Linked DNA regions of Xenopus tropicalis. The main gene of each other region encodes a partner of the protein of the gene in region 4 in a complex. Links are inferred from orthologs where the notes say so. Each region holds a gene or a part of one and is shown on either strand. Other genes may lie near its edges.

The links.
Region 1: polr1b (region 4) and polr2h share a complex: the UniProt entries of both Homo sapiens proteins name them as parts of the pol I pre-initiation complex. The link is inferred for Xenopus tropicalis from reciprocal best matches to the Homo sapiens genes POLR1B and POLR2H.
Region 2: polr1b (region 4) and taf1a share a complex: the UniProt entries of both Homo sapiens proteins name them as parts of the pol I pre-initiation complex. The link is inferred for Xenopus tropicalis from reciprocal best matches to the Homo sapiens genes POLR1B and TAF1A.
Region 3: polr1b (region 4) and ubtf share a complex: the UniProt entries of both Homo sapiens proteins name them as parts of the pol I pre-initiation complex. The link is inferred for Xenopus tropicalis from reciprocal best matches to the Homo sapiens genes POLR1B and UBTF.
Region 5: polr1b (region 4) and twistnb share a complex: the UniProt entries of both Homo sapiens proteins name them as parts of the RNA polymerase I (Pol I) complex. The link is inferred for Xenopus tropicalis from reciprocal best matches to the Homo sapiens genes POLR1B and POLR1F.

What each region holds. Positions count from the first base shown.
Region 1 is NC_030681.2:99,526,347-99,532,453, forward strand, and holds polr2h (DNA-directed RNA polymerases I, II, and III subunit RPABC3), read right to left. Parts: upstream 4,070-6,107; 5' UTR 4,057-4,069; intron 3,685-4,056; 5' UTR 3,676-3,684; coding exon 3,603-3,675; intron 3,510-3,602; coding exon 3,426-3,509; intron 2,789-3,425; coding exon 2,695-2,788; intron 2,585-2,694; coding exon 2,501-2,584; intron 1,393-2,500; coding exon 1,275-1,392; 3' UTR 1,172-1,274; downstream 1-1,171. UniProt on the Homo sapiens protein: DNA-dependent RNA polymerase catalyzes the transcription of DNA into RNA using the four ribonucleoside triphosphates as substrates.
Region 2 is NC_030681.2:9,681,086-9,687,114, reverse strand, and holds the start of taf1a (TATA box-binding protein-associated factor RNA polymerase I subunit A), read right to left. Parts: upstream 3,434-6,029; 5' UTR 3,278-3,433; coding exon 3,169-3,277; intron 1-3,168. UniProt on the Homo sapiens protein: Component of the transcription factor SL1/TIF-IB complex, which is involved in the assembly of the PIC (pre-initiation complex) during RNA polymerase I-dependent transcription.
Region 3 is NC_030686.2:18,522,116-18,528,425, reverse strand, and holds the start of ubtf (nucleolar transcription factor 1), read left to right. Parts: upstream 1-2,584; 5' UTR 2,585-3,011; exon of another isoform or gene 3,012-3,245; intron 3,246-3,380; exon of another isoform or gene 3,381-3,791; intron 3,792-3,819; exon of another isoform or gene 3,820-3,961; intron 3,962-4,022; exon of another isoform or gene 4,023-4,319; intron 4,320-4,412; exon of another isoform or gene 4,413-4,989; intron 4,990-6,310. UniProt on the Homo sapiens protein: Recognizes the ribosomal RNA gene promoter and activates transcription mediated by RNA polymerase I (Pol I) through cooperative interactions with the transcription factor SL1/TIF-IB complex.
Region 4 is NC_030681.2:38,745,627-38,751,817, reverse strand, and holds the end of polr1b (DNA-directed RNA polymerase I subunit RPA2), read right to left. Parts: intron 5,405-6,191; coding exon 5,234-5,404; intron 5,007-5,233; coding exon 4,850-5,006; intron 4,662-4,849; coding exon 4,465-4,661; intron 3,695-4,464; coding exon 3,441-3,694; intron 3,073-3,440; coding exon 2,190-3,072; 3' UTR 1,812-2,189; downstream 1-1,811. UniProt on the Homo sapiens protein: Catalytic core component of RNA polymerase I (Pol I), a DNA-dependent RNA polymerase which synthesizes ribosomal RNA precursors using the four ribonucleoside triphosphates as substrates.
Region 5 is NC_030682.2:38,623,986-38,628,748, forward strand, and holds the end of twistnb (DNA-directed RNA polymerase I subunit RPA43), read right to left. Parts: intron 4,612-4,763; coding exon 4,406-4,611; intron 3,925-4,405; coding exon 3,099-3,924; 3' UTR 1,465-3,098; downstream 1-1,464. UniProt on the Homo sapiens protein: Component of RNA polymerase I (Pol I), a DNA-dependent RNA polymerase which synthesizes ribosomal RNA precursors using the four ribonucleoside triphosphates as substrates.

The DNA.
Region 1 (6,107 bases), about 61 Mb from region 4:
TTCTGTACAGACTCCATAGCCTGCCAGGGCTGTGGAGTTGAATTTGTGGTGTTGGAAGCAATTTGCACGTCTCTGCACTCTCTCCAGCTCACTAATATCCTTCTTAAGGACTGGAGACCATAACTGCACTGCATACTCAAGATGAGGCCTTACCAGGGACCTATAAAGGGGCAAAATTATGTTCTCATACCTTGAGTCAATGCCCTTTCTTATGCAAAACAGTGCTTTATTTGCTTTAGTAGCCACAGAATGACACTGCCTGGAATTAGACAACTTGTTATTTACAAAAACCCCTAGATCCTTCTCAATTAAGGATGCCTGCAAAACACTACTAACAGTACTACACACCTGTTCTCATCATAGGATGGGTGTCCTAAAACAGGTAAAGCAAACACAAATACATTTTTATTCCTTATTTGCTACTTTCTTGACAGATTCATTAATATTTACTAATTTTTGTTTTATATTAAGGGTTCACAAAACCCTTAAACCTTTGTATCTTTAGATTTTATCTGTAGAATAGTTTTTATCATTATGCCATCTTATGGATATGTGCAAAACAACCTTTATCAGAGTTCAAAGACCTCCACAATTGAATATATTATGTTTCAAAGGACACAGTTTGTTGGCACACCTATAAATAAAATCAACCTTTATTTCAGCAATTAAAATCTGTACATTAAAACATTGTTAAAGAAAAGTAGGAGAATAAAGAAATTAAAAACCATAACCCTAGTACCTATTGACTTCAATTCTGTTAGTATCTTGTTGCATTACTTTGAGGCTACTTTCCTAGATGTTGTAGATTGAAGTGTAGCAATTTATCTTGGCAGAGTTTGATGAAAAAGTAGCTTTTTTCTAGTATCTCAATGAGTATTATCGCTACAAAATAGCATCACTAGTTTAGTACAATGTTGTCTCTTTGTGGATCTCCACAATAATGATCATGAAGAGGACAAAATGCATGCCTAAAGTGCCTTTTGTTTCAGAACCCAGCTTTCCTTTTAAAAGCCAATTAGACTGCCTAGAAAAAAAAACTTTTTTTTTAACCAGCTGCACCAGTCATTTAACTGATGACTGGTTGAGATTTTTTTTTGTATATTGCTTTAAGAACATAAAGGATCACCTTTAAAATGTCACAGACTGCATTATTAAAACCTCAAAAGAACTATTTATCACAAAATAATATTTTATTAAAATACAAAAAAATACAAGATGTCAAAAGGGTCTATATTACATTCCAATACTGCACCATTCAATAATTCCCTTCAGCATTAGAAAGCCAGCTTCTTCATCAAGAGGTAAACACGAGAATCCACTTCAAATCCATGCAGATTGTTAGCATCTCCCTGAAGCCTCATTAGAAGTCCTCCATATGATACATATGCAGACCTAGAGGAAACATGAGCACGTTATGGAACACAGAGAATATTGGAAAGTAGAGGCAACTTGTGTGAAAGAGTAAGGGCACAAGTGAAACATAAGTCCCTTTCAAGTTTACAGAAAAATAAACCCTATTAGTATTGCTTGCTTTCATCCACCATAAATGGTGCTGCTTATTCTGCACAATTCAATTTGGTGTCTATTAAAAAGTGAGAGATGTCAGAGAATTCCCTAATAAATCACCTTCTACTGATTAAACTGTAAATCTGAAACATGCACCCTTATCTTTAAATTCCATCCCACTATATTGTAGACTTTGGGGTATATTTATTATGCTGTGTAAAAAGTGGAGTGAAGCATTACTAGTGATGTTGCTCAGGGCAGCCAATCAGCAATTAGATTTCAACAGTTCAACCAAAGCAAAGCATCTGATTTTGCTGCTATGAGCAACATCACTGGTACTGTTTTACTCCACTTTTTTACACAGCATGATAAATATAACCCTTACTGTGGAGTTCTAGGCTTGCCATATCCATAGATTCCAATAGGAGTAATCCTCTTATTGGATGTGGTCTACAGTTCAGCTTATTGGCATGGTGGAGCCTGGCAATAATTGTTAAAGGAAAAGTAACACTAAAAATTTTTAATTAAAAAATGTATTCTACCCTGCCCCAATAATTGCCCTATCCTGCACACCATTTATTATTTTGAATGCTTTATTAGAAAATACCTGCTAAATCTTGGCTTCCGGTCATTTGAAAGAGGGTGATACAGCGATGCAGGGCAGAATCCACTATGCGACGATCAATCCTCGCATAGTGGATTCTCCCCCCCTAAATTTTAACCCTTTCTGGATGCTAATTAGAATATACAAATTTATGCTAATTATGATTCGGTTCGGCTGGGACAGTGGATTTAGCCGAAACCGAATCCATCAAAAAAAGGCAGGATTTGGGGCGAATCCCGAACCGAATCTGGGATTTGGTGCATCCCTAATAATTTCTGTGTGTTGCCTTTCTGGCCCAGGTGCAAAAACCTTCTTGTCTTTTCATACAAAGAGCACATGCAGGTTTAAGATGAAGAAGCAAGTAACTGGGTAGATGATTTGGATTCTTACAGGCGGGTAGCGGCTTCTGTGGAAGTTTCATCACCCTCTATCCGATAGACCTTGCCGTACATGATGTATTCAAACTGGTCAGCTCTAAAAGAAGAAATGCAATGCATGAGTCACGTGCCTCACAAAGACTATAATTTGGAAACCAACAGGATGAACCATATGTTCCTTTTTATTTATCTGCAGTAATATGATACCTTGAGGGTCGGTCATCAGTAGGATTGTACTCTCCGTCATCCAATGTACCATCCTCATAGAGCGTACTGGCAATAACCAAGCGGAATTTATCCCCTGTGGAAGAAGAGTAAGAGGACACACAATTTAACAACTGTTGTGCAGTTAATCTTCATAAAACACTGGTAATGTGGTAGAATTTAAATACATCTTTGCATTTATGCACCGTGTTTAGTCAATGCAGTGCCAGCCATGCCATCATTTTTTTTTAGAATGGAACCCATAAAGCAGATCTATAGAACCCGCACCATAGATTTTACAAGCTACTTCAGGTATGTGCTACTTACACAACTAGAGGATCAACTCCTATTCACCCTAAAAATCCTCCAGCTTCTGATACCACCCCAACAGCACACTGCACCAAGATATGCATTAACCATAATAAAGTTTGTTTCTGGTCTTACAACTGGCAAGACCCAGAATCAGACAGACTAAATAAACTGTATTTGCAAATGATAGTTGCTAAGGGTTCACCGACACTTGCAGAGTGTTACTTAACAGGTAACAAAAGGCTGAAAACTGTCAGATAAGTCAATTTTGTTTTTGACATTTTAGACGTTGTGTTTGCAAAACATAAATCCACTGAAAATATTATTTTCATTTTATGATATTGTGTTTGTCTCTAAAGTGGACTCCTATTTCAAAAATGACTGCTATAATCATGTCAATGTACAGACAACAAATCCCAACTTACCCAAGTCCACAGGATAAACCTGTATATTAACATCAAGGATCAAATCCATCTTAAAAGACTCACTTTCACAATGTAACCTTGACACTAGAAGAAAAGTCACAACATTAGCAATGTAAAGAAAATAAATGGACCTTTCATGTTTGGAGCAGACATGTTTGGCTTTGCTATGCTGCTTACCTCGATCAAATTTTCTTCCTTCTGGATCAATATCCTTTACATCAAAGATGTCTTCAAACAAAATGCCAGCCATGGCAGATAGCTAGAAAGGTAGACTCTTATTAATATCTGTGCAGGGATATTTTGTTTTCTATAACTGAATGAGATTTCTAATGGTCAGACTGTTTTCCTTAATAATTTGGAGATACGTAAAGATATCCTGACACTATTAAGTTTCTACATTCTTATTGCTTTGAAATTTTGACGCTGATTTTTTTTTTATGTTTCCACGTGCTGTTCTGCATGATTTTGCCGTCACATCCTTCAATTTGGAAAGAACACATAGGAACCCTAGCTTCCGCCCTCCCTTCCCAAATCAATGACAGAAGGGGGAGGGCGGCAATCCAAGTATGTGCATACTGCCCGAAAGTCCCGCTTTTCCTTACAAAACCCGCAGTCCCGTATCACTACTTACTCTTCCCGCAAAGCCTGCCGGCTTCTAGTCTCGTTTACAGAAAATCCCGACGTCAAAGTCTCATCACGCGAGACTGGCGTCACGACTACACGTAACGCAATGACGCATTACGCAGCCGCCTGGGAGTAACGAGCCTACGTAATCGCGTCACACAGTAGGCAGCTGCTAGAAAGTCAGCTTCCAGTTCTACTCCTACTTCTGTTAGAAAAGAGAAAAAGACTATTTTTCATGTCAGTTGCCTTCTGCCACCTCAGCTCCAAATATTTCCTTAGCAGTCATTCATATAGGGAAGGAAGATTTTTTTTTTCCTGGTTGCCACCAGCAAAGTAAAGCCCAGTGAAATTTTAGTAATTTTAGTTTTTTTTGCAGTTATTGATTATTATGTTGGTTATAGTAACAATCAAATGCACAGATCTGCGTTTTACAGACACAATTGTAAAACCATTAGGGTAACAGTTCAGTGTAAAAAATGAAACTGGGTAAAATAGACTGCACAAAATAAATATTCTCAATATTGTTAAGCGAAAATGTAATCTATAAAGGCTGGGGTGAGCAGGTGTCTAGCATAATAGCCGTTAGGGCAGTGGCACACGGAGATTAGTCGCCCATGATAAATCTTCACCATTGCGGGCGACTAATCTCTGAAATGCCTTTCCATCAGCAAGAATGTAAATTGCCTGTGGGATGGTATACACATCGCTTTTGGTCGCACAAGGAACTGTTCAGTTAGTTTGCTTTTGCTCACAAACGAAGGGTCACATTTACTAATCCACGAACGTCCGAATGCGTTTCATTCGTAATGATCGGTATTTTGCGATTTTTTCGGAAATTGACGCAACTTTTTTGTAGCCATTATGACTTGCTCGTAAATTGTCGCAACTTTTTCGTAGCCGTTACGACATGCTCGTAAATTGTCGAGACTTTTTCGTAGCCATTACGACTTGCTCGTAAATTGTCGAGACTTTTTCGTAGCCATTACGACTTGCTCGTAAATTGACGAGACTTTTTCGTAGCCATTACAACTTGCTCGTAAATTCTCGCGACTTTTTCATAGCTGTCGCGCCGAGTACGAAAGTTTCAGATTCTTTCAAGCTTCAGTATTGTGACTTTCCTTGGGCCAGGTTGGAGCTGCAGAGTGCCATTGAGTCCTATGGGAGGCTTCCAAAATCATGCAAAGTCGCAAAGGTTTGCCCGCCATTTACGAGCGCTCAATACGAAAAAGTCGCGACAATATACAAGCAAGTCATAACGGCTACGAAAAAGTCGCAACAATTTACGAGCAAGTCGTAATGGCTACGAAAAAGTTGTGACAATTTACGAGCAAGTCGTAATGGCTACAAAAAAGTTGTGACAATTTCCGAGCAAGTCGTAATGGCTACGAAAAAGTCGCGACAATTTACGAAACAGTCGTGACGGCGACGAAAAAATCGCAAAATGTTCGTTTCCAATCCGATTTTTTCCCATTCGGGATTCGGATTCGTGGATTAGTAAATCAGCCCCTAAGTCTCACTAACAGTCCCATGTTCCCCCCCCCCCAAAGTCAATGACTAAGAGGTTAGAGAGCTGTGAGGAAGTAGTGTTCTGACTATAATGGTTAACTTAACAACGTTTGTTGCTGCTCAAAGCCTAATACTTATTGCATCAGAAGCAAGCCTTTTAAAAGGAGAACTAAAGCCTAACTAAAGAAGTAGGGCAGAAATGTTATACATTATGTTTTGGGTTTCTGTACCAGCCCAAGGCAACCACAGCCCTTAAGCAGGGAAGATTTGTGCCTCCACAGATGCCCAGTAACTCCCCATCTTCTTTTCTGCTGATTCCCTACACATGTTCTGTGCTGCTTTGAGCTACTGAGCTTAGGGACCGACTCAAAATATACTGCATAAATAGAATATAACAGTAACAGTAAAAAGATTATTAGTAATTAATTCAGATTCACATTAAATGACACATCTGAAACCAGGGCAACATCATCAGAACTGAATAATTAACCCTTTAGAATCAGCTTATATGACAGACATATATCTCCAGTCCAGTCAGTTAATTATATAAAA
Region 2 (6,029 bases), about 29 Mb from region 4:
GCCGAACCCTGGATTCGGTGCATCCCTAATACGCAGAAAGCCAAACAGTAAGAAACAAAGGTAGGGGGATGCCGTCATAGCACTTACAGTTTTTTTCACAGGCTACTGCAACGTTAATTTTGGCGCAGGCGTGCGAGTGCTGGACCCCAATCTGCTCTGGCCTCAAAACTTATTTTGTGTTAAAGGAGACATATTGGATAAATACAAAAATTTTTATCTTGTAGGCAATTATAAATAATATATGGTGCTGGTTTCACTTTGCTCTTAAGATTAATAAGGTCTGTAAATATTAACCCTTAATTGGAGCTCCCTATAGATCCTATCAAGTCTGTGTTTCAAATGAGGGGTAGGCGTGTCCGAACGGTCCCTGCCAGATGCACAGTAGGAGGGGAGTAGCCAATCACAGCCCTGCACTCACACAAGCACAGACAGGCTTCAGTTCCCTATCAGGTCAGCCTAGCTGCTGATTGTTGGTTCCTATCCTACAGTGCAGTATACCGAGTGCTGCTGGCCCCCCTGCACATCCAAAGAACTCAGCCAGCAGGAAGTGGAACAGATGGGCGGGACTACTGGGACTTTTAAAAGCACAATCCTTCCATATTTAGAGGAGTATAATACACTGGTACATTCATAATTTTAACATGATATGTCTCCTTTATGAGGGCTAAATGTATCAGTTTACTGAGGGCAGAGGTTCCCTATATACAATTTAGCAACTCTACAGCCACACCAGGCCCAGACTGGCAATCTGTGGGTTCTGGCCAATGCCTCTGGGTACTGGGAATGCCAGAGGGGCTGCTGTAAGGTACCACAGACAGTCACTATTTATTGGGCTGGGGGGGCGTTTGTGCCTCTGGGTACTGGGAATGCCAGGGGGGCTGTAAGGTGCCACAGACAGTCACTATTTATTGGGCTGGGGGGGGGGCTGTTTGTGCCTCTGGGTACTGGGAATGCCGGGGGGCTGTAAGGTGCCACAGACAGTCACTATTTATTGGGCTGGGGGGGCTGTTTGTGCCTCTGGGTACTGGGAATGCCAGGGGGGCTGTAAGGTGCCACAGACAGTCACTATTTATTGGGCTGGGGGGGGCTGTTTGTGCCTCTGGGTACTGGGAATGCCAGGGGGGCTGTAAGGAGCCACAGACAGTCACTATTTATTGGGCTGGGGGGGAGCTGTTTGTGCCTCTGGGTACTGGGAATGCCAGGGGGGCTGTAAGGTGCCACAGACAGTCACTATTTATTGGGCTGGGGGGGGGGCTGTTTGTGCCTCTGGGTACTGGGAATGCCGGGGGGCTGTAAGGTGCCACAGACAGTCACTATTTATTGGGCTGGGGGGGGGGCTGTTTGTGCCTCTGGGTACTGGGAATGCCAGGGGGGCTGTAAGGTACTACAGACAGTCACTATTTATTGGGCTGGGGGGCTGTTTGTGCCTCTGGGTACTGGGAATGCCAGGGGGCTGTAAGGTGCCACAGACAGTCACTATTTATTGGGCTGGGGGGGGGGCTGTTTGTGCCTCTGGGTATTGGGAATGCCAGGGGGGCTGTAAGGTGCCACAGACAGTCACTATTTATTGGGCTGGGGGGGGGGGCTGTTTGTGCCTCTGGGTACTGGGAATGCCAGGGGGGCTGTAAGGTGCCACAGACAGTCACTATTTATTGGGCTGGGGGGCTGTTTGTGCCTCTGGGTACTGGGAATGCCAGGGGGGCTGTAAGGTGCCACAGACAGTCACTATTTATTGGGCTGGGGGGGCTGTTTGTGCCTCTGGGTACTGGGAATGCCAGGGGGGCTGTAAGGTGCCACAGACAGTCACTATTTATTGGGCTGGGGGGGCTGTTTGTGCCTCTGGGTACTGGGAATGCCAGGGGGGCTGTAAGGTGCCACAGACAGTCACTACTAAGGGGTATACTTACATACCCCCCAACTGTCCCGCATTGCGGGACATTCATGGAACTATCCGGCACAGCAGGATGCGCTTGCTGTAGCCGGATGTTCTTGCTTCGTCGGCTGCTTCGTTATGCCTCTCCTTGTGCAGCGCTACAGGCCCTTTTATAAGGTTGCGCCTGTGGGTGTGACGTCATTACGCATGGGCGCAACCTTATAAAAGGGCCTGTCGCGCTGCACAAGGAGAGGCATAACGAAGCAGCAGAAGAAGCCTGCGCCTATGGGAGGTACTGTGAATGGGGGGCCACTGTGATCGGGGGGGCCACTGTGATCGGGGGGGACACTGTGATCGGGGGGGACACTGTGATCGGGGGGGACACTGTGATCGGGGGGGACACTGTGATCGGGGGGGACACTGTGATCGGGGGGGACACTGTGATCGGGGGGGACACTGTGATCGGGGGGGACACTGTGATCGGGGGGACCTGTGGGGGGGGACACTGTGATCGGGGGGGACACTGTGATCGGGGGGACACTGTGATCGGGGGGACACTGTGATCGGGGGGGACACTGTGATCGGGGGGGACACTGTGATCGGGGGGACACTGTGATCGGGGGGACGGCTACTGTGTATGGGGGGCTACTGTGTATGGGGGGCTACTGTGTATGGGGGGCTACTGTGTATGGGGGGCTACTGTGTATGGGGGGGCTACTCTGTATGGGGGGGCTACTCTGTATGGGGGGGTTACTCTGTATGGGGGGGTTACTGTGTATGGGGGGGCTACTGTGTATGGGGGGGCTACTGTGTATGGGGGGGCAAAACTGGTACTTAGTTATAACTGACTGCCTTCTCTCTATACTTGTATTTATATGTAGGAGTTGCTATATTGTTTTCCTTAGGTAGTACAGTATGAGGGTATAGCACATTTTCGTCTGCGCCCGCCATTTCATCTATATAAAAGGGGTATTTTTTTTTAATGGGGTGTGGTAATTGGGGCGTGGCCACAAAAGGGGGCGTGATTAAAAAAAATGCCGCACTGCGCGCGCGCCAAATCTTTTTGTCCCTCTTTTCATTTTTCAAATGTTGGGAGGTATGTACTTATCATGCTGTGTAAAAAGTGGAGTAAAGCAGTACTGGTGATGTTACCCAGAGCAACCAATCAGCAATTAGATTTCAACAGTTAGAAAATCAAATCAAAGCATCTGATTGGCTGCTATATACAACAACACTGGTGATGTTTTACTCCACTTTTTACACAGCATGATCAATATACCCTTAAGTGTCTTTACCGTGGGGTTTCCTTCTTGGCACCGGCAGCTGGAGCCCCAGAACCTCCTCCTCACTCGGTCCCTCCTCGGAATCTTCCCTTTCCGCACTGCGTTCGCTGCTCCCATCCATCTCCCCTCGGTTACAATCAGACAAGCGGGCTGCTTCCCCCTCACACTGTGTTTACATTCCCCGCAGCGCCGCTTGCACTTCCAGCCCCAAGCATCCCGCAGGCATGTTCAGCCACACGCCGCTAGCCTCCTCTCGCGAGAATATGACGTCATGAACCACGTATAAAAGGGGCGGAGACGGCGCCAACTCGTCATTGGGTGAAGAGTTAGTCAGGCAATAGCTGGCAGTGGGGGCCGCTGACTGATTATTCTGCTCTCACAGATTCTGATTTTGTTAGAGAATAAATAAAGAAAATAACGACTGCTTTTTTCCTTCGTGTTTCCTTGCCATGGCCACTGCCCTTAGAAGCTTTATCCCCAGTGTTTGATGAAAAAACAAATATTTGCTTTCTCTGCTCCACAGAACATGTAAATGGGAACAAAAAAAACACTTTGTTTATATTTGTGGGTGAGGTAAATATGAAAAAAAGCTTTATTTTTCTGGTGATTACCAGCAATACCCACTACCCTCAGAGTCTGCTCCTGATATCCCAAACTTAGTATTTTATTTGAAGTTACACTGCCATGTTTTTGTGAATAATGGACATGGTTTTAATTTTTGATTTTTAAAAACCCTATAACCCACCCAGTTTTTCAATTATTGCCTCACTATTGTTACAGTTGGCCCATACAGAACATTTGGTCATTCCTTTCAGCTTTGATCCCTTTGGACATCCTTGTTACAGCCATACTAAGCAATAGGCAGCAATAGTTACAGCTATACTAAGCAATAGGCAGCAATAGTTACAGCTATACTAAGCAATAGGCAGCAATAGTTACAGCTATACTAAGCAATAGGCAGCTATAGTTACAGCTATACTAAGCAATAGGCAGCTATAGTTACAGCTATACTAAGCAATAGGCAGCAATAGTTACAGCTATACTAAGCAATAGGCAGCAATAGTTACAGCTATACTAAGCAATAGGCAGCAATAGTTACAGCTATACTAAGCAATAGGCAGCTATAGTTACAGCTATACTAAGCAATAGGCAGCAATAGTTACAGCTATACTAAGCAATAGGCAGCAATAGTTACAGCTATACTAAGCAATAGGCAGCAATAGTTACAGCTATACTAAGCAATAGGCAGCAATAGTTACAGCTATACTAAGCAATAGGCAGCTATAGTTACAGCTATACTAAGCAATAGGCAGCAATAGTTACAGCTATACTAAGCAATAGGCAGCAATAGTTACAGCTATACTAAGCAATAGGCAGCAATAGTTACAGCTATACTAAGCAATAGGCAGCTATAGTTACAGCTATACTAAGCAATAGGCAGCAATAGTTACAGCTATACTAAGCAATAGGCAGCAATAGTTACAGCTATACTAAGCAATAGGCAGCAATAGTTACAGCTATACTAAGCAATAGGCAGCAATAGTTACAGCTATACTAAGCAATAGGCAGCTATAGTTACAGCTATACTAAGCAATAGGCAGCAATAGTTACAGCTATACTAAGCAATAGGCAGCTGTAGTTACAGCTATACTAAGCAATAGGCAGCAATAGTTACAGCTATACTAAGCAATAGGCAGCAATAGTTACAGCTATACTAAGCAATAGGCAGCAATAGTTACAGCTATACTAAGCAATAGGCAGCAATAGTTACAGCTATACTAAGCAATAGGCAGCTATAGTTACAGCTATACTAAGCAATAGGCAGCTATAGTTACAGCTATACTAAGCAATAGGCAGCAATAGTGAACTGGATTTAGTCCCTAGGGCATTCGGGGCTTACTAACTAGGCTCCCAATTCTCTTCCTTGACCCCCTACATACAAAAGCTGGAACGACTGGTTGATTACAGGTAACTGTACCAGGCTTAAAGATCCAAGTTTGTGGATCTTAAGGGTGAAGACACACGGAGCTACTAGTAGCAGCTGCTTGTTGTGGCTACTAAAACAAACAATACTGATCATTTACTGATAATTGTCTCTATGTGTGTTTTAGCAGAGGCAATTCTCAGTATTGTCTATGGCAGGGGATTTTCTGGAGTTTAGTAGCCATGAAAAAGTAGCTGCTACTAGTAGCTCAGTGTGTCTTCACCCTTATTGTAAGGGACAGTCAAAGCCCTTAGTAACATTGGCCCAATAATATGTCTTAGCACAAATCATCTGTGCAAACCATTTATTTAAAACTACACCCTACATTTTCAATAATTTTCCTGAAAACTGTGTTTCCTTGTCAGGTCTTTTTCTGTTTTTCTCTTAGGCAAGTAAACGAAGTCCCACCTATTCTATAGTTACCCATCACATATTCAAAGTGACAGTAATAAATGAGACCCACCTGTCACTGTACACACACACATCACACAACAGCAGCGATAAAAAACTGTAGTACTGTTTTAGCCAGTTTCAAAAATAATTAAATAAAAACACAAATACAAGAGTACTGTAGAAATGATACCTATACTGGTTAACAATAAAAATACATTGCGAGCTTTCAGAGCTCTAAGGCCCCTTTATTTGGGCTGATGAAGGGGCCTTAGAGCTCGCAATGTATTTTTATTGTTAGCCAAAATAGGTATCATTTCTACAATACTCTACTTCTAATTTCTTGGCCAAAATCCACCCCATCTGCTGGATGGTGAATATCATTCAATCCTGTCACTGCACATTCAGGACGGCTCAGAAACTGCACTGTGTAAAAAAGGAGAGAAACTGTGCTTCATTGGCCTCCTGTGTACTGAGTCAAATTGGGTAGATCCCTGGG
Region 3 (6,310 bases), on a different chromosome or scaffold from region 4:
TAGCAAAGTTTGGGGACCTTTGTATTAATATTTAAAGAATGGCAGCAGTTTAAATGTAAACGTACAAAGTCTATAGGTGAGATCTGATTGGCTGTTGTTGGCCCCACCCACTTTTCTAAACTTGGAACATAATCACCCAGTGACAAACTGTGCAAAGTTTGGGGACCCTGACATTAAACGTGTGAGAATGACAGCAGTTAAAATTTCCCCACTGAAAACAATAAAAGAAATGTGATTGGCTTTTGGTGGCCCCGCCCACTTTTTCTAACCTTGTGTACGTAGTCACCCAGTGAGTGACTGTGCAAAGTTTGCGAACTCTGACATCAAACCAATAAAATTAAATAGGTGAAATTGGATTGGCTGTTGTTGGCCCCGCCCACATTTTCTAAACTAAAACTGCAGTCCCCTTGTGACCAACTGTGAAAAGTTTGGGGACCCTGGTGTTAATTCTGTGAGACTGGCAGCAGGTTGGATTTCCCCATAAAAGTCAATGGGAAAATTGGGGGGCGCTAAGAAGAAGAAGAAGCGGAAGAATAAGCTGAAGTGGAAGAACAGTATGTTGGGTTTTTCAAACCAACATAATTCCTACATATTTAGGCTGATGCCACACATGGCGTTTTTACGCTGCGTATTTTCTAATTCTCTCAGCGGCTGAAAAACGCCCGATATCATCATCCATAGAAATAACTTGAAAAGACTCGAAGTAAACCACACAAAGAGTACATACGCTACAAAACGCCTTAGCACGGATTTTTCCGTTTGACGAAATACGCCAGTATTTGCACAGCAAGATATTCCTATGTATACACAAAGGCAGCTGCCAGACCTAGCGGAAATATGCAGCGTTTTTCACTATTTTGCACTATTAGCACCATGGAAACGGGATTTGCTACGTCACCAGTACTAGGCTGAAAAACGCCATAGTCAGGGGCTGTGTGGCTTGTGCTGCGTTTTTAGGCTGAGAAAAAACGCAGCGTAAAAACGCCACGTGTGGCATCAGCCTTAGGGTTTATTATGTTCTTTGTGCTCAAATAACTTTTCCACCCTGACACAAATTATGTTATATACCCACAACACTCCTGTCACCTACTCCCCACTAACACCCTAAACATGCATAGAAATTATTGATCAGAAAACAGTGTTGGACTGGGTTGTCCGAAGCCTACTGGGGCTGCTGCATGGGGGCCCCCAACCACAGTCGTGAGCTGCTTTTGTATGCTTCTCCCGCCACCACTGTGTGACTTCCTCCTAGCGGCCGCAATGGGAGGGGGGGAGCGCCAGTGCCTGCAAGGGGAGTCACTGTTTTTTCCCCATGCCCTGCCGGCCCAGTTCAACATTGCCCGAAAAACCAAACTGGGCCAGCAAAAGTAGATTTCAGTGTTGTCTCAGTGTTCATGCCTCTGACCAATGGGCATCATAGGGGTTAGCACAAGTGGCATAACTTGGTTGCCCCCTGCATAAAAAGCTTTTGAGAGGGTCCGGCGCAACCAGTCCCTCCATCCGGCCAGACTGCACCAGTATATTTAAGGTAGGAAAGGGGCCTGGGAGGGGGGACTAAGGCACAGCAGACCCTGCAGTCGGGCCCCCCACCCCAGTCAGGGTTGGACTGGGCCCAAAACCCATGGCGCTCTCTCCCCTGTTGCACATAAGCTAAGACACACGGCAGAGGGAGTTGAGCAGACAGTGGGGGCCAGGACAGGGCCCCCCAGTTCAACCCTGTATATAGTTACACCCCTGGTTAGCACTGCTGTCTGGGTTTCATTCTAGCCTGGGCACTAGCTGCAACTCCCTGGGATTCCTCCCACACTCCAAATACATACAGGCAGATTAAGTGGTACTGATAAATTGACCCTAGTGAATGTGGTAGCAACCTTAGATTGTAAGCTCCACTGGAGCGGGGGCTGGTGTACAATCTCTGCTCATTGCTGCAGTGTCAGTACCATATAAATAAGGGTTAATAACTGTAAGGCGCAAAGCCCTTCCCCTGGCACAGTATGGGCTCCTGGCATCTCTAGCTGCTCCCCGCTCATTATGCCTGATTGCTGTTCATGTTAAAGAGAGAGAGAGAAGAAACCCTCCTTGATGTGCCAGGAAAGCTTCCCCCATGATTGGCTCCCTCTCTCTGACGCTTTCAACAACAAAGGTGGAGTCAAAAAAAAAATTAGGTTAAAAAAAAGGAGAAGATAAATAAGAGTCAGACAGGAACAACATATAGGGAATAAAAACCTGTTATGGGGGGTTTAGCGCCTGTGTATGGTTGGAAGCGCTGAGCAGCCAGCAGCCGCCGGATCTGAGCAGCCACCAAGCCCTGCTTCAACCATGATCACTGTATTGTTGGACTACAGCTCCCAGAATGCCCGCACAGCCTATCTGGGAGCTGTAGTTGGACAACAGCTGGAAGCAAATTGCTGCCGTATGAGGTGAATGTGAGGGGTGCCTGTAGCGGCAGCTGGTAATGGGGAGCAGATTGCGGTGCTGGCTGGATGGAGGAAAGGGAGGGATGGAGGGATCAGCTGGAGCCTGTTGCAGGGAGAGATTGGAGGGGGCCTGGCTGATTGGAAGGCTGTATAGGCACGGAGAGCGATGGAGGCGGGGGAAGTGCGAGCTCTCTGCGGGGACTGGGTCTGAGTCCACGCCCGGGGCCAGCGCTGCAGATCTGGCCATCATTCAAGCGCCGCTTCCCCAGCCTTGTACAGGGGAGGAGGAAGCCGAGCCCGGGCTGCACACACACACACAGGAGGTGGGTTTCACTGAGCTCCATAGAACTCCCCCGGAGCTGGCGAGGCCCCCCTGCCGGGCTGTGTAGGGTGCAGCAGCGGGAGGAGGAGGAGGCGGCTCCCCGCGTTCTGTCTGCCCGGCTGCTGCTGCAGCGACGCTGGGCGGGGAGAAGGAGCAGGCAGCGCCCCCCCTCCCCCGGAGCTCTCGCCATTACCCAGGGGCTGCCGCAGCCGCTTTGTCTCCGAGATCCGGACAAGCAGATTCCCCCCAACATCCCTGGGAGAGACAGTGGGGTAAGCCGGCTTGGGGGTCTGCGGGCACCTGGGGACGGATACGGCACAGATCGCTGGATTAGTATAAAATCCACTACCGGCCGGGGAATTTGTAGCCACCGAAGGGCGTTAGTGTGCGGGGAAACCCGGGGAAAATGTCACCTCCAAGCGGGCACGATTCAGTCGGGCTTGCCGAGAAACATGCACTTTTCTCGGTCACCTTGCGCGACTCACCCCGTTGCGGTTATGGGGAAGGTACGTGTAGCCTCAGTTTCCCTGCCCGGGCTCACCCTGCGGGGCATGGGTTTGTTTAATGCGGGGAAGGGCACTGTATGTGACGGGCAGTGTGGAACCCAATAAGGGCAATAGCAGCCCGGGTTCCCGCTGCGCCCTCTCCCAGGCACCCTCCCCTCGGGCTTTGGCTTGTTTTTCTCGGGAAGAGGCTGCTAGTTCCGCGCTGGGGCTGCTGAGGTCGCTCTCCCCCGAGTCTCCGGCTCCTCCTCCCCCCTTGGCCGGAAGGTGAGGCCCGGCAGCTGGGAACAAGGTAAGAGCTGCGGAGGGGGAAGGAGAGAGACGTTCCCAGGGGAGCAGAGAGGTGGGTGCCCGGGAAGATTGCGGGGAGCTGCGCCGACACGGCTCGGAGCACCGAAGGGAGGGGGCCGGGAACATGAGGCAGAGCTGGCCGGGGCTCGGGTGCATATTGCGGGGAAACGCGAGGGGGCGTCCGGCTGCTGTTGCGGGGCTTCCGGGCGCGACACGTGGGCTGGCAGGGGACTCGGGCTGGGGACGGCGCTTCTCACGGTGAGTAGGAGCGGAGAGGGGGTAGAAGGTGACCCTGTTTCCCGGGAAGAACAGATGCTGCCTGGACTGCGCTGCCGGTAGTTAAGGAGGCAGTCGGCCGGTGTCTAACGGGGAGCGAAAGAATCATTCGCGGGTAGAAGCGAAGGGACCCATTGTGGGCAAATAACGAGGTGGGTGAAAGTCGGCCGAGCCTGTGGCGCATTATACTACCGCAGGCAGCCCGACTGGATCGTCTGATGGTTTAACCATACGGGCTCTGCTTTAGCCGAATCCGATTCGGAGCCTTTCCCCGCACCTTGCTCAAGGCAGCCCAAGCGGCTTCCCGGCACAGGGTGAACGAGTCGGGGCTACCAGCGATCCCAATGAAAAGCGTTTTAAGGCGGAGGCTCCCCCTGGGTCGCGGAATGGGCTGATCCGTACTAGTGGAAGCCGTGCCGCGGCAGGGAAGGAGCGGACGCCGGAGCTACGGCTGGTCCATAACAAAGGGGGGAGCGCTTTTCTCGGGAGCCGCTGGTTCGGAAGCGGGCGGTAGGTTAGGGTGTATTCCTCGCTACGGACGGGGGCTCGAAAAGATGCTATTTACTGGTACGGAGAGTCAGAGCCCGGGGTGGGGGTTGGACTAAGCGGGATAGGGTGCCCGGAAAGCTGGTGTTTTGGTCCAGTAAGGACCAGCCCCGCAGGCATTACTCGCTAGGGTCAGGGGTTCCCGGGTGAGACGGTTCTTCGGTAGAGTCAGTGGGTTGTGTCAGGTTGGAGCGACCCCTCCCTGGGACTGGAGACGGGAGAGTACCGCTGGGTATGCGGCAGTGCTCAGTCGGGCCGCCCTTACGGCTAGGAACCCGGCTTTGCCTGGGGGTCGCTGCCGCGCTAATCCTCCCTCGCACCGGACTAGGGTTGTACAGTTACCGGGACCGCATCGCTGCTGCTTCCCGACGCGCCCAACAGGAATCCCGGCTCCCAGCCAGAAGTTCCTCCCTTTCGGGGGTGGGATACGTCTGCTCTTTCCGGATCCCGTCCCCTCCCGGTGCTGGGCGGGTGCTACGGTGAGAGGCGGCGGGGGCCCCCTGCAGGCAGAACGGAGAGTCCTAGCCCGACTCGGGGTGGGGAATTGTGACCTCAGAGCGCCCTTTCCTGGAAATAGAGCAGCGCTGCTTCTTAGTACCCAGTCCTGTAGCCGGAGCTCGGCCCGTACTGATCGGTGTGTTTGTATGGCAGCTCCTACGCCGTGTACGATTCCCTGCAACTGGCGCTGCTGTTGAAAACTGTAGTTCAGCATCAGTCACGTCACACACACATTTGCACTGCTGCCACTAGACTCGTTTGGGTTTAATAGCAAAACCATTTAGGACCCCTTCACTTTTCCAGTAAGACATGGCCACTGTGACCCCCTATATCTCCTGGACTACCCCAAAAGTCGCAGCTGTGAGACTCCAAATATCCTTAACCTCATACCAGAACCATGTGACCATAATGGTAGAGCTGGAGGGGCAGATTATAGGTAATGCCCCGACTGTGTTTGCCACACACCCATCGCATGTAAAATGCCAAGCAAGCTGATATTTACTCCCAGCCCATGCCTACATACCCTTTTATACTGCCTTAAACCGTACAGTGTTATGGGATTGTTCTTGTGTTCAGGGCTCCCCTTACAGGAATTACAGGGGTATTACATTATTATCCCTTCAGGTTTCTATGGCATGTGGCCTTGTGTCTTTTGTTACCCAGCTACACTGTAAATATAGGGAAACATATACAGGTAGGGGATCAGGGCCGCTGCTGGCCAAATGGGTGCCCTAAGCGGAAATTTACTTTTGTGCCCCCTCCCCCAAATATTACGTAAGTAAAAATGAAATACTAAAAAAAAACACCTACTATAGGGGCCCCACACACAGTGCCCCCAATTGCCCCCATAGTAAGTGCCCCCAATAGCCCCCATAGATTGATTGAACTATCCGGGACAGCGGGATGCACTATAAAAACCGGCGGAACATTGTTGGGGGGGTATGTTATAACATATAAAAATGTTTTTTTTTTGGAGCAGCTGGGATGATGCCCCCTTGGGAGTTGGTGCCCTATGCAGACTGAGTACTCTGCTTATAGGGAGCGGCGGCCCTGTACGGGATCCTTTATCCCAAATGCTTGGGACCAGGGGTTTTCTGGATAAGGGGTCTTTCCTTAATTTGGATCTTTGTACCATTTCTACTAAAAAATAATTTAAACCCAATAGGATTGTTTTCCTACCAATAAGGATTAATTATTTCTTAGTTGGGATCAAGTACAGGTACTGTTTTATTATTACAGAGAAAAAGGAAATCATTTTTAAAAATGTGAATTATTTGATTAAAATGGAGTCTATGGAGATGGCCTTCCCCTAATTGGGAACCTTTTGGATGACGGGTTTCCGGATAGAAGATTCCATACCTGTACTTCTGTTGTAAATAATAAGGATATTAGAAGTCACTGAGGGGTTCTGCAGGCTGAGTTATACAGGGAACTCTGAGCATCACTCATGTATTATA
Region 4 (6,191 bases):
CATATGAATTAATACAGGTCATTTGCGACCTCAATTTGTTCATCGCTTGTTTATTTTGCACTTCATCTTAGGTTTAGCTCCAGAACAAGAGAAGCCCACACATATAAGATATGAATTTACGATGGAAGTGAGGTAGAAGAAGAGAAGTTCAATAAAGGCATTATCAGCCACTGAAACAAAAGGTGATAATCCCCTTAACCAAAATATAGGGGTGGTATTTTGCAGCACACTGGTGCAACAAGTGCTATACATTTAAAGAAAAATAAAATATGTGTTAAGTGGAAGAAAGCTTTTGCAAATGTAGGGACCCATAGGGTTAAGCTCCCTATGGCTTTACACCCTACCTCTTCACATCTTTATTATTATTGGGTAAAAGCCCTTGTACTTCAGTTACAGTTGTAAAGCTATCCCTTATAGGTTTAGCCTGGTTGTACACGCCCCCTGCAGACTGATAAAGTGTCTGGCAGGAGGGTGTGACTTCCTCTTTGGCTGCCGGTCTGCTACCTAGTGCACCTCTCCATTGAGCCTGGGTGCAGACACAGGCCCCAGTAAGCCATTCCATCCAAATTAAAGTCGGGGACAGGGCCCCATGAACGTGGTTAAGCAAGAACAGGTTAATTAATATTATAGAAATCTCTAGGAGAGTTACACAGTCAGGACTTATATAGAAAGAGCAGCTCATTTGTTCCATCCAGGAGGGAAGAGTAAAGGAGTAGTCTCCTAACAGGCTTACTTGCCTTAGATTAGGGACACAGAAGTGCTAGGGACATAGGCCAGCAATTAACCCTGCCCTTACCTCTACCAAGAGAAGGGATCAACCGGTGAGCTTGCCTCCTACCACTCTGTTGGCTGTCTTACCCTGCCCATACCTCTTTATGAGAAGGGATAAACCCGAAGGCACCATACTTCAACTGATTGAACATTTGTACCTGCTTACCTCATCTGAGTGTGTATTGATATCCCTGTATTTACAATTTGGTCTTGGACAAATAAACAGTTTCCTTTGTTTGCAAGAGCTCCTGGTGTCCATCATCTATTCGTAAATCTGCATTACCATCTAATACACTACACAGTGGCAGTGAGAGGTATAGTATAACACAGGGGTCTCAAACTCGCGGCCCTCGGTACAATATTTTGTGGCCCGCACCAACGCCTTTGCAAAAGCAATGAATGGATCGCGATTTTTATTGCGATTCAAGGGATAATGCAAGGCATGTTCTGTGTGCACAATTAGCTCCTTAGTTAGCAGCTAATTGTGCACACAGAACGTCTTCCCATAATAACTGTTATGATGGCATAATGTCATTTCCGCAATCAGCAGCTCCCGCCCGCCGTGCCTTGCATTATCCGATAATGCGGCCCCCAGGTAAATTGAGTTTGAGCCCCCTGGTATAACACCATCCTCCAGTAATTTCTCCCATATAGCGGAGGCCCATCCTGATGTATGAGAGTCACATGTAACCAATGCTCTACAACTAGCCTGGTTTTGGTCCAATCTATCCCAAAATAGTGTTACACAATACAGAAACTATGAATAAAAGGCATTTAGTACTTCCACTGTATTCCCTGGTCCCAGGTACACTAGCAAACAATTTTTGGCCACCTCCACTCCATGCTCAAGAGAGTGCCTTTTTTGTGTTACTCGCTGTAGCCCTGGGGTCTGCTCCCCCCTATAGCTACACTGCTTGCAGGCAGCAGGTGTGCATACTTTTCTTTGCACTAAACAAAAGACGTATGTCATTTTAAGCATCTAATTGTACACATGTAATGGTATTTAAAAAAAACAAACAAACCATGAAATACAAAAGATATAAAGACTAATGTGGGAACTGTTGCTTTATGTCACACAGCATTGTTCATGTCACCATATATTTTACTTTAAAAATATATTCCCCCAAAGTCCAAATTCTCTAGACACTTCTGGTAGGGATGTGTGCCGCAAGCATGAGACTTCTGAGCATTTTTAAACTCAGTAAAAATAACTGTTTCCTTTTCACATTGGAAATTGTTTCAGCAGTAAAAATGCTGATAAAAATAATTTAGTCAGATTCAGTCTGAAGCAAACCAAAGCTGCCACAGTGTGAGTTAGCAGTTGAAATCCATACATACAAAGTTTTTACTCAATTAGGAGGCACATTGGTACTACTATAATCATACAGAAGTTGCCCAACACAACGTGGTGTTTGAAACTAGCTCACACTTAGTTTCACACTGATATTCATGGCTGCTAATTCAGCCACAAAATAACGGAAAACATAAGGTACTGATACAGTCTCAACAGTATCCGTACGATCGCAGACTTCACAGTGGTGTTTTCGGTTGCGTATGGATGACCAGGAAGGCGGAGGCTTTTCCAAGAAAGGAGAGAGTAGGCTTCCACATTCTATGCACACATGTGCTGTCGACCTATCCGAGCAGTTAAAAAGTCGATCATGAAGCAGGAAAGAGGTACCGTGGGCCAGCAGTGCATCACGCTCCATTTCTCCAAAACGTATCCCACCTTGAACATTACGGCCTCCCACAGGCTGGTTGGTAACTTTATCCCTGGCACCTGTTGTTCTAACCTGAAACTTGTCAGAGACCATGTGTCGAAGGCGCTGGTAGTAAACCACCCCAATGAAAATATCGGCTTCAAGTTCCAGGCCACTTATGCCACTGTATAGTTTCTCTGTGCCATAGAAATTGTAACCACCTGCTCTCAGCATTTCTCCAAAATATTCAAGGGCAGAGTTTTCTTCAGAAAATGTAAAGGGTGTGGCATCGTGGCAGAGACCATGCAGGGCTGCTGACTTTCCAGCCATGCTCTCTATCAGCATCCCAATGGTCATTCTAGAGGGAAATCCGTGAGGATTGAAAAGGATGTCCGGAACCATTCCACTCTCTGTAAATGGCATATCCTCAGACGGCCAAAGCCTACTCAAAATACCCTTTTGGCCATGCCGACTTGCAAATTTATCCCCGATTGTTGGATTACGGGGGATTCTCATGGTGACACAAACAGACTTAAACTTTCCAAAACCAATGTCATTACTGCAGATTTTGATGTTGTCAATTACACAGTTTTCTTTACTCCTAAAAAGAATAAATAAGAGATACGAATGATATCTGGTGCCTGTCTTATTATAAATAACTATGTGCATAAATGCTCTTTGGTCTTTGTTTGTACAACTTTATTTAAACCACTATAAACAATTTTCAAAGGGGGCTGCTGTACACAACATCAAAAAAGCAAAACAAGGTGTGGAATTGGAGTTATAACATACAATTAGGGCTCAAAGACGAGGAAATTAGGTGATTTGCCCAGGATCAAGAATTTAAACCAGGATCTGTAGTATCAGTATCAGATAGATAATGTATCCATTACTCCTTCTTGTACATTCAAAATAATACTAGGCCATTCATACAGGATCCCAGGGAACTGCAAGCAAATTAATACTTACTTGTAATAGGCAACAAAGCTCTCCCCTGTGTTAAGGTTCAGGTAGCCATAGTAAGGGTCTCCAAACTGCAGAACAGCACCAACAGCAGGGAGGCCATCGCTGTCCAGTCTTCCTTTCACCCGCTCATCATCTGGTTTGATGCCAAAAACTAGATTATCTTCTCCATCTTTAAGTTTTTTACTGAGATCCACGTGATCAGTTTTATACACACTTCCATGAGCAAAGCCTCTTTCCCATGATGACTTGTTCAAGACCTGCAAAACACCAGTACAGATGTCACCCCTGAAGCTGATACTGAACAAAAGATCTGGTTCTTGTATAAGGCTGATGCATTTATTGTGCACTGGAAACTTGAAGTTTTATTTAGTGATTTCTGGTCATTAGCTGGTATGTAGGCCAACATAAGGTCCCACTTATCAATGGTAGGCCCAGTGCCAAGTGCAATAATGGGATTAAAATGTTATCTATTAAAATAGTATGCTCCTACTTGTACTCCCTACAGTTTGGACACAAGGGTGCCCTTTACTTATCACCTGCCTTTAATAAGTATTAAGTACAGGCATCTTCTATGCATTGTGCCTAGTGAATAGTAGGCAAACAAAATGGATGCCCCCACCCCAAGGTGTAAATACAGACACACAGAAAATAAATATTTAATGTACGTAAAAGCAATGCCCTCATATTTTACAGTTTATTTAACAAAAATAAATTGATAACATTTTTAAATAGATAATATTATTCTTATTAATTATATGCATGACATCACCAACTATACCAGCGTTTCTGGTGATGAAGCAACTCATACTCCACCGCCTCTGGCGACTGCCGATACCTGTCCATCTCTGATAGTATTAGGGGGGGCGGGGGGCACACACTGGTTTTACAGCCTTTTAAAACCTCAGCCTAGGCTGGAAAGGGGCAAGTAAGTTTAAGAAATTACTACCTATGACAAATGTTTTTAATAATTTCAATAAATAAGCAGATATGTAAATCTCTATTCACCAAATTTGGGACAACTACTTACCATGGCATCCTCCATGTCATACCCTGTATACGAAATGACTGCTACGATTGCATTGGTGCCAATGGGATAGTTATCCATCTCATAATAATCATACATGGAAGGCCGAACTAAAGGACTCTGTGGGGTCTGTAGCCGGTACAGTTTGTTATCAGAGCGATCCTGATAAGTCATAAGAGGGAAGCCCATTGTCTGCTTACCTGGAAATAATGCAATTTATGAAATTTCAGGAAAAAGCAAGGGTCTCTTCCTCAAGTAATGAACTTTTCTGCTGCAATATTTAGCTCTACATACTATTTTATAGCTCTTACAAGAGTAGATTAAACTTAACCAGAACAAATCTTACATTCTTACCAAATTCTGATGCCCTGCTTAAAAGATGACTTACCCATCTGACACTGATACATGTTTCTGGGACTCTGGTTGTGGTCTGAGAAGGGGATAAAATTTGCTACTACACTCAGCATGCTGTGCGGGAAAAACTCCTGGTGAGTGGTCTCTCCGGGTACAATATCACCTTCATAAACTGCCACATTCAAGAAAACCTGGGGCAAACACAAGTAACACCAGTGAAATACAATACATTATGGATAATTCCTGCAAAGAAAATGAAACTTACAACAGATGTTTAACACATAATACAGGATCAAAGCTAGAGTCATGCAGGAGATTACCAATCAGAGACAATATTGTAATGGAATTCAAGAAGGAGCCTAAAATATGGTCATCAAATTAAAGAAGATTTACTTATGTACAAAACACTGAAAAATACCTGTTCCAAAGTGCCAAGCAATTCCTCTTTACCCAAGGCCAAATTCCTGACGGGACGTACCATCCTGCAGGGGGTGGTGAAAAGAAAAAGCCCAGGGTACAGACTTGCTTTCCCAGTCATTGGGATAAGGACAATTTCAGTCCATGGAGGCACATTCTTTTCATGTTTCACCTGCATTAATATAAAGCAAACATAAAAAACTATTAAGAGATCAAGTTGAAGAAGGTCTTCACTGCACTGATTGCCTCCCTAGTGAGTCTATGTGTCCTGTAGGAATTTAATAACTAGCAGAAAAAAATGAAAAGATAAAAAATGGATAAATCTGAAAGCTGGTTGCCTTTTAATTAATTAGTGTCCTTGTTGCAAAATTAATTAGTGTTCTCTTTGCTTTTGGTGCTTGGGTCCCCCAATTAGACAAAAGTGTGCAATTATTGTAACTACAGTGCAATTACGTTCTCTGTACTTTTCCCCAATTCACTAACCCATAACATCCAACAAACAGTTTTCCCTGACCTAGTACAGTTAGTAAAACATCTCACTGATGCTCTGTGGCTTTAGACTAGGACTAGTAATTCTTGCCATCCGGTATAATCCCAATTATTTAATATTGGCAAAGAAGCAAATACATTTTAAAGCTGTGGTACACTGGGAGATTAGTCACCAGCGACAAATCTCCCTTGCCTTGAGATGGCCGCGTATGCCATCCCACCAGCAATTTACATTCTCGCCGGTGGAATGGCATTTCGGGGAGATTAGTCGCCGGCGACTAATCTCCCCATGTGCCAGAGCCCTTAGTGGTACAGGCACATCATAATTTAACCATCCAAATATGTGGTCAAAGTAAACAGATACCTTTCTGACACTCTGTTAAATATTATAAACGTTGGCCAGCTTGCATGCTGTCTCCCAGCAAGGGGCAGTTTACCCTATTAGGGTTTGTGTCCAGGAAAAGAAAAAT
Region 5 (4,763 bases), on a different chromosome or scaffold from region 4:
TAAGGGATCCTATACCTGTACTAGAATGCACTAAGGAAACATATGCACCTGAAAGACCTGAGCAGACAGAGTGCCACTACTGCAACATCACTGGTGAGTTCAGGTCAGAAAAATAACTGTTCAATGGAGAGCAGTGTAGCAGAGTCTGCTTTTCCCCATAAGTACTAGTATATGCGCTAAAAAAAGTCTCTTTGGCGCTTCCATTTACAGCATATTATTATTTAAACAAAACTGTATTTTTTGCACAATACAAAAAGATGAGACTCATTAAAAGGGATTGTCATAATTTTTATGGTGTACTTTTTATTTCTAAAATACACTGTTTACATAGCACATAATGCACTCTACCATTTAAAATTTTATTCTTGAACCAACAAATGAATTTTTAGCTGTAATATTCGTGTGTAGGAGCCATCGCAGTGCATTGTGCCTGAGTCTGAGCTTTCAGAAGGAGCCAGCGCTACACATTGGAACTGCTATCAGATAACCTATTGTTTCTCCTACTCCTATGTGACTGGAGGAGTCCCAAGCCGGACTTTCTTACTATTAAGTGCTATTCTGATACATACTGGGAGCTGCTACCTTCCCATTGTTCTGCTGATCGGCTGCTGGGGGGGAAAGGGAGGGAGGTGATGTCACTCCAACTTGCAGCTCAGCAGTAAAGTTTGACTGAATTTATCAGAGAACAGGTCACATGGCTGTGGCACCCTGGGAAATGAAGAATATGGATAGCATCATGTGAAATTTTAAAATTAAATTACAAAAATTTAAAAAAAAAGGGGATTTCAATGCAGGATTCTGATGGAGAAGCTCTATTAACTGATGCGTTAAAAAAAAAAAAAATGTTTTCCCATTACAGTCATTTGTAAATGTAATTTCATGTCAAAAGTAGTGCTGGTTTTGTTTCTTTGTGTTCTCAGGCTCTGACTGAGTGCAGCAGAAATCAGTTCTCCTCCAGATCAGCTGGCTCCTGCAAAATCTTTTCAGGAGTCGGAATTAGAGGTTCAGAGATTGTAAACAGCCAGATACTGCTTCACAACACCTTAAATAATAACAATTCTTAGCAATGATTCAATCCACATTTTTTTTTTTGCAATTGCAATCAAAAGCATTTTGCTTTTGCCCCTTGCTATTCCCACCACTGCCTTTCCTCAAACCAGGAACTGGCTTCCCACAATGCTTGCACCCTTGTGTGATTCTCCTTCTCAGGTCAGTTAACCACAGAGCGTACACGTTATTGTAGGAATTGGACTTTTGGATGGAGGACAGTCCACTGCTGCTACATAGTTTTACTGGTTTTCTATTCAGGATTGGCTGTGTATAAAAGGGACTCATGTCAGAAATAAACAGTTTGCATCAAGTGCTGCATTATGTGTGGGTGCTATATAAATACATATAACATTTTTCACATTCTAAAATAATGGGCTATATGTTATACTCAAAGGTACCTGCCCAATGGGTTTAGCACAGCAGAAAGTTAAAGCAGACTTTGGCATTCTTTTCCGCAGGAGCATACGTGTGGGAGTTTTTAATTTTGACAAGTCTTATGTCAAAGAAAAAACTTGCTGCTCATATCAATATGCACAGGTATGGGCTGTATAACACTTAATAGCAACAAGGTTATATTCTATATATCATTTTCTATTCAGCCAGTCCTGCAACATATAGAGGAACTGTGTACTAATAATGTGATTGGGCGCCTCTGGTCCCTGGATGCTGTCAAACTTTATCAGCAGTGCTACAAAAGGCAATAGCTGGAAGTTGCCCATCCTTGCATAGAGGGATCTTGTTAGTCTTTTCTTCTTCCATCCGGCAAGTGTCTGGATATAACTAGGTGCATCTGTTCTTTTATTCTACAGGGCTGCTACACTTGTTTGTTTCTGTTAATTCATACGTTAAAGAACAAGCAAAAGGAAAAAACAAACACAAAAATGTGGGAAACTAAACTGGGCAAGACGATTATCAGGCAGAAAGTCTGTTTAAAGGCAAGCAGTCTAATTCCCCTGCAATGGGCACATATTTAATAAGACAACAGTGACATCTAGTGGCCCTGCTGAGCAAATGCATATGTAGCCTACACACACACATTCAATTTAAAGGCACTACTGATACTGCAAATACATAGGTAACATGAAACCCATGTGTGAAAATTTAAAATGCCTTTTTTTCATGCAGTTACAACTGACATTCAAACCATTTGGCTTGGTTGCATTAAGCACATCTATAGTATATTCTGAAATGGCAGCTTTATATGCAAATTAATCACCAGGCATCTTGTAAGACTCTTATGGCATTAAGATGGGTTCCATAGGCCTTCAGGGTATCTGTAAGAGATCCAATCCTTTTGGTTGCTAAAAAAGTGGACTTGTGTCTTTGACGGTCTATGCAGGAGGAACCTCAGAAAGTTATTAAAAATAACCTGTTCTTTCTGCTTCTTGTTTCAAGGTATTATCATCATTATGGTTTTCCTTTACTATAGGGCTTAGACCCATAAATGATCCTCATGGTTACTTTCCTCTACCTCTGCTTCCTGTGGAATAGAATGCTGGATCATTATCAGTCACAGTGATATTTTCCAATTTTGCCACAAATTCGGGGTTAAGTGAAAAAAGGCAGTGATTGACTGGCAGTAGAGCACCTAACTCCTTCCGGTACAGGTTCAGGTTAGGAAATTTAGAAACCCCAATTCTTGTTTAATTAACCCCTTTTCCATTAAATACAGGATACATATGGCTGAAATGCTGAGCCTGCACAATTTGGGCTACAGCATGTGTGGCTGTGCTTATTAATTTAAAGATCCAATCAGCAGTACAGCTGGACCTATCAAAAGCACAAGTGCATCAATGAAAGTCTGTCTATTTACTAACCTAATGCATGAACCCTGGTACATATGCACTGCTGGGGGCCCTATAGAATGGCCAGAAGTAAAATGTTTGAAAGAAAGAAAGAAAGCACAAGGCACACTTTATAATAAATAGGTGGAACTCCTAAACATATTTGATTTTTAAACTTCCAAATAATTTTTACATTGGCACATACATTATTAAAATACACTTTTGCTTTTGAAAATACAAATTTACAGTATTGTTAAAAACATGTCATTCTTTATGTCTCTTTTTAATCTTGGGTTCTGCAGCCAAAGTATCTGGTTCATTTTCATGGTGTCTTTTTGCCTTTTTGTGCTTGCTTTGGGATGACCCTGAGCCACTGCCAGGCAGTAAATGTTCCTGATGTTTTGCTTTATGCTTTTTTGCCTTTGGAGTTTCCTGAGAGATAACAAGGCCTTTGGTGAGAGATCCTTCGGATGAGATACAAGTGACAAGGTCACTGTCCGGGATCTGCTCCACAAAAGAGTGCTTGTGTTTTTTCTTAACCTTATCTGGGTCACCACCACTTGCTGTCATTTCTTCTGGTTCAACAGTGGCACTTTCTGAAAAACTTTCATCTTCTACTACTCCATTGAGAAAAGCAGAGGTACTATTAGAATTACTTATCTCCTTACTCTTCTTCTTGGATTTCTTTGGTTTAAAATTAACTGGTGATTCAGTAATATTGCCGTCTTCAAGGATTGTACTGTCCACACCTTTCTCAGCATCAGATTCACTATTTTGCCCAGGAACATTCCTGTGCTTCTTTTTCTTGCGTTCTTTATTTGAAATGTCTTCATGCAATTCTCCAGGACTCTCTAGATTTGGATCTGTGACTATAGAATGATCTCCTGTGCTCTCAGCTTCCTGTGTAAGCGACTCTTGCAATTTCTGTTTCTTGCGTTTTTTCTTTGCTTTTTCCTGAACATCACCATTTTCTTGGACGCTGGATTCCATATTTGAGCTTTCCAGGGCATCTGCATCTTTATCAGATGTTCCATCATCAGCTTGCTCAGCAGTTTCTTCACATGGGGTTTCGTAAGCTTTATCTTCCATTCTGTAGCAGCAAAACACAAAAATTAATATACATAATGTAGATAAACTCAGAATTAGAGACCTCCTGATGAAGGAGGCAAGATGTATCTGCCACCTAAAGTGTAGGATTTTTATTTTATGTCTTTATATTCTGGGTTTACACAAACAATTAAGGCAACGATTTGTACATATATTGTATAAAGTTATGTATAATTTCATGTAGTTTAACATGTATCACCAAAAAAGTAAAACATGGGAACAAAATTAAAAAGTAGAAAATCGAAGACTTAATTTAAATTTAACGTGTTGATAACAAATCTTATTTTTCCTTTCTTACATTTAATCTTTCTTATATTTAATCTGATTAGGAAAAATAAGATTTGTTGTCAACACGTTAAATTTAAATTAACTGTACTGAACCCATGCAAACCAAAATATTGAGTTTTAGACTATATTGGCAGAAACTTGTTTTGGCCTCACAGAAAAACAAAAAAACAAATCACCTTCTATCCAGCTTTCCACGTATACAAAATACACCGACAGCATCAGAATCTAAACGGAATACTTCAAACTCTATCTCGTCATCTATGTTAACACCAATACGCTGCCAATTTTCAATGGGCATCTTGGGAGGCTTGGGTATGGAAGCGTTGAAACAGCCATGTACCAAACAACCTATATGTGTGGGTGCAACTTTATTGACAATACCCTGAAACAAAATGAAAAACATACATTAGAGATAAAAACAGCAGAAACTGCATTAGAGATACATATGACGTTGCCAAACACTGCTATAGGATATAGTGATACCAGGGCCTCCACCACAAATCTTGGGTCCCAAGAAGAAAGAAAAAGTTCTGG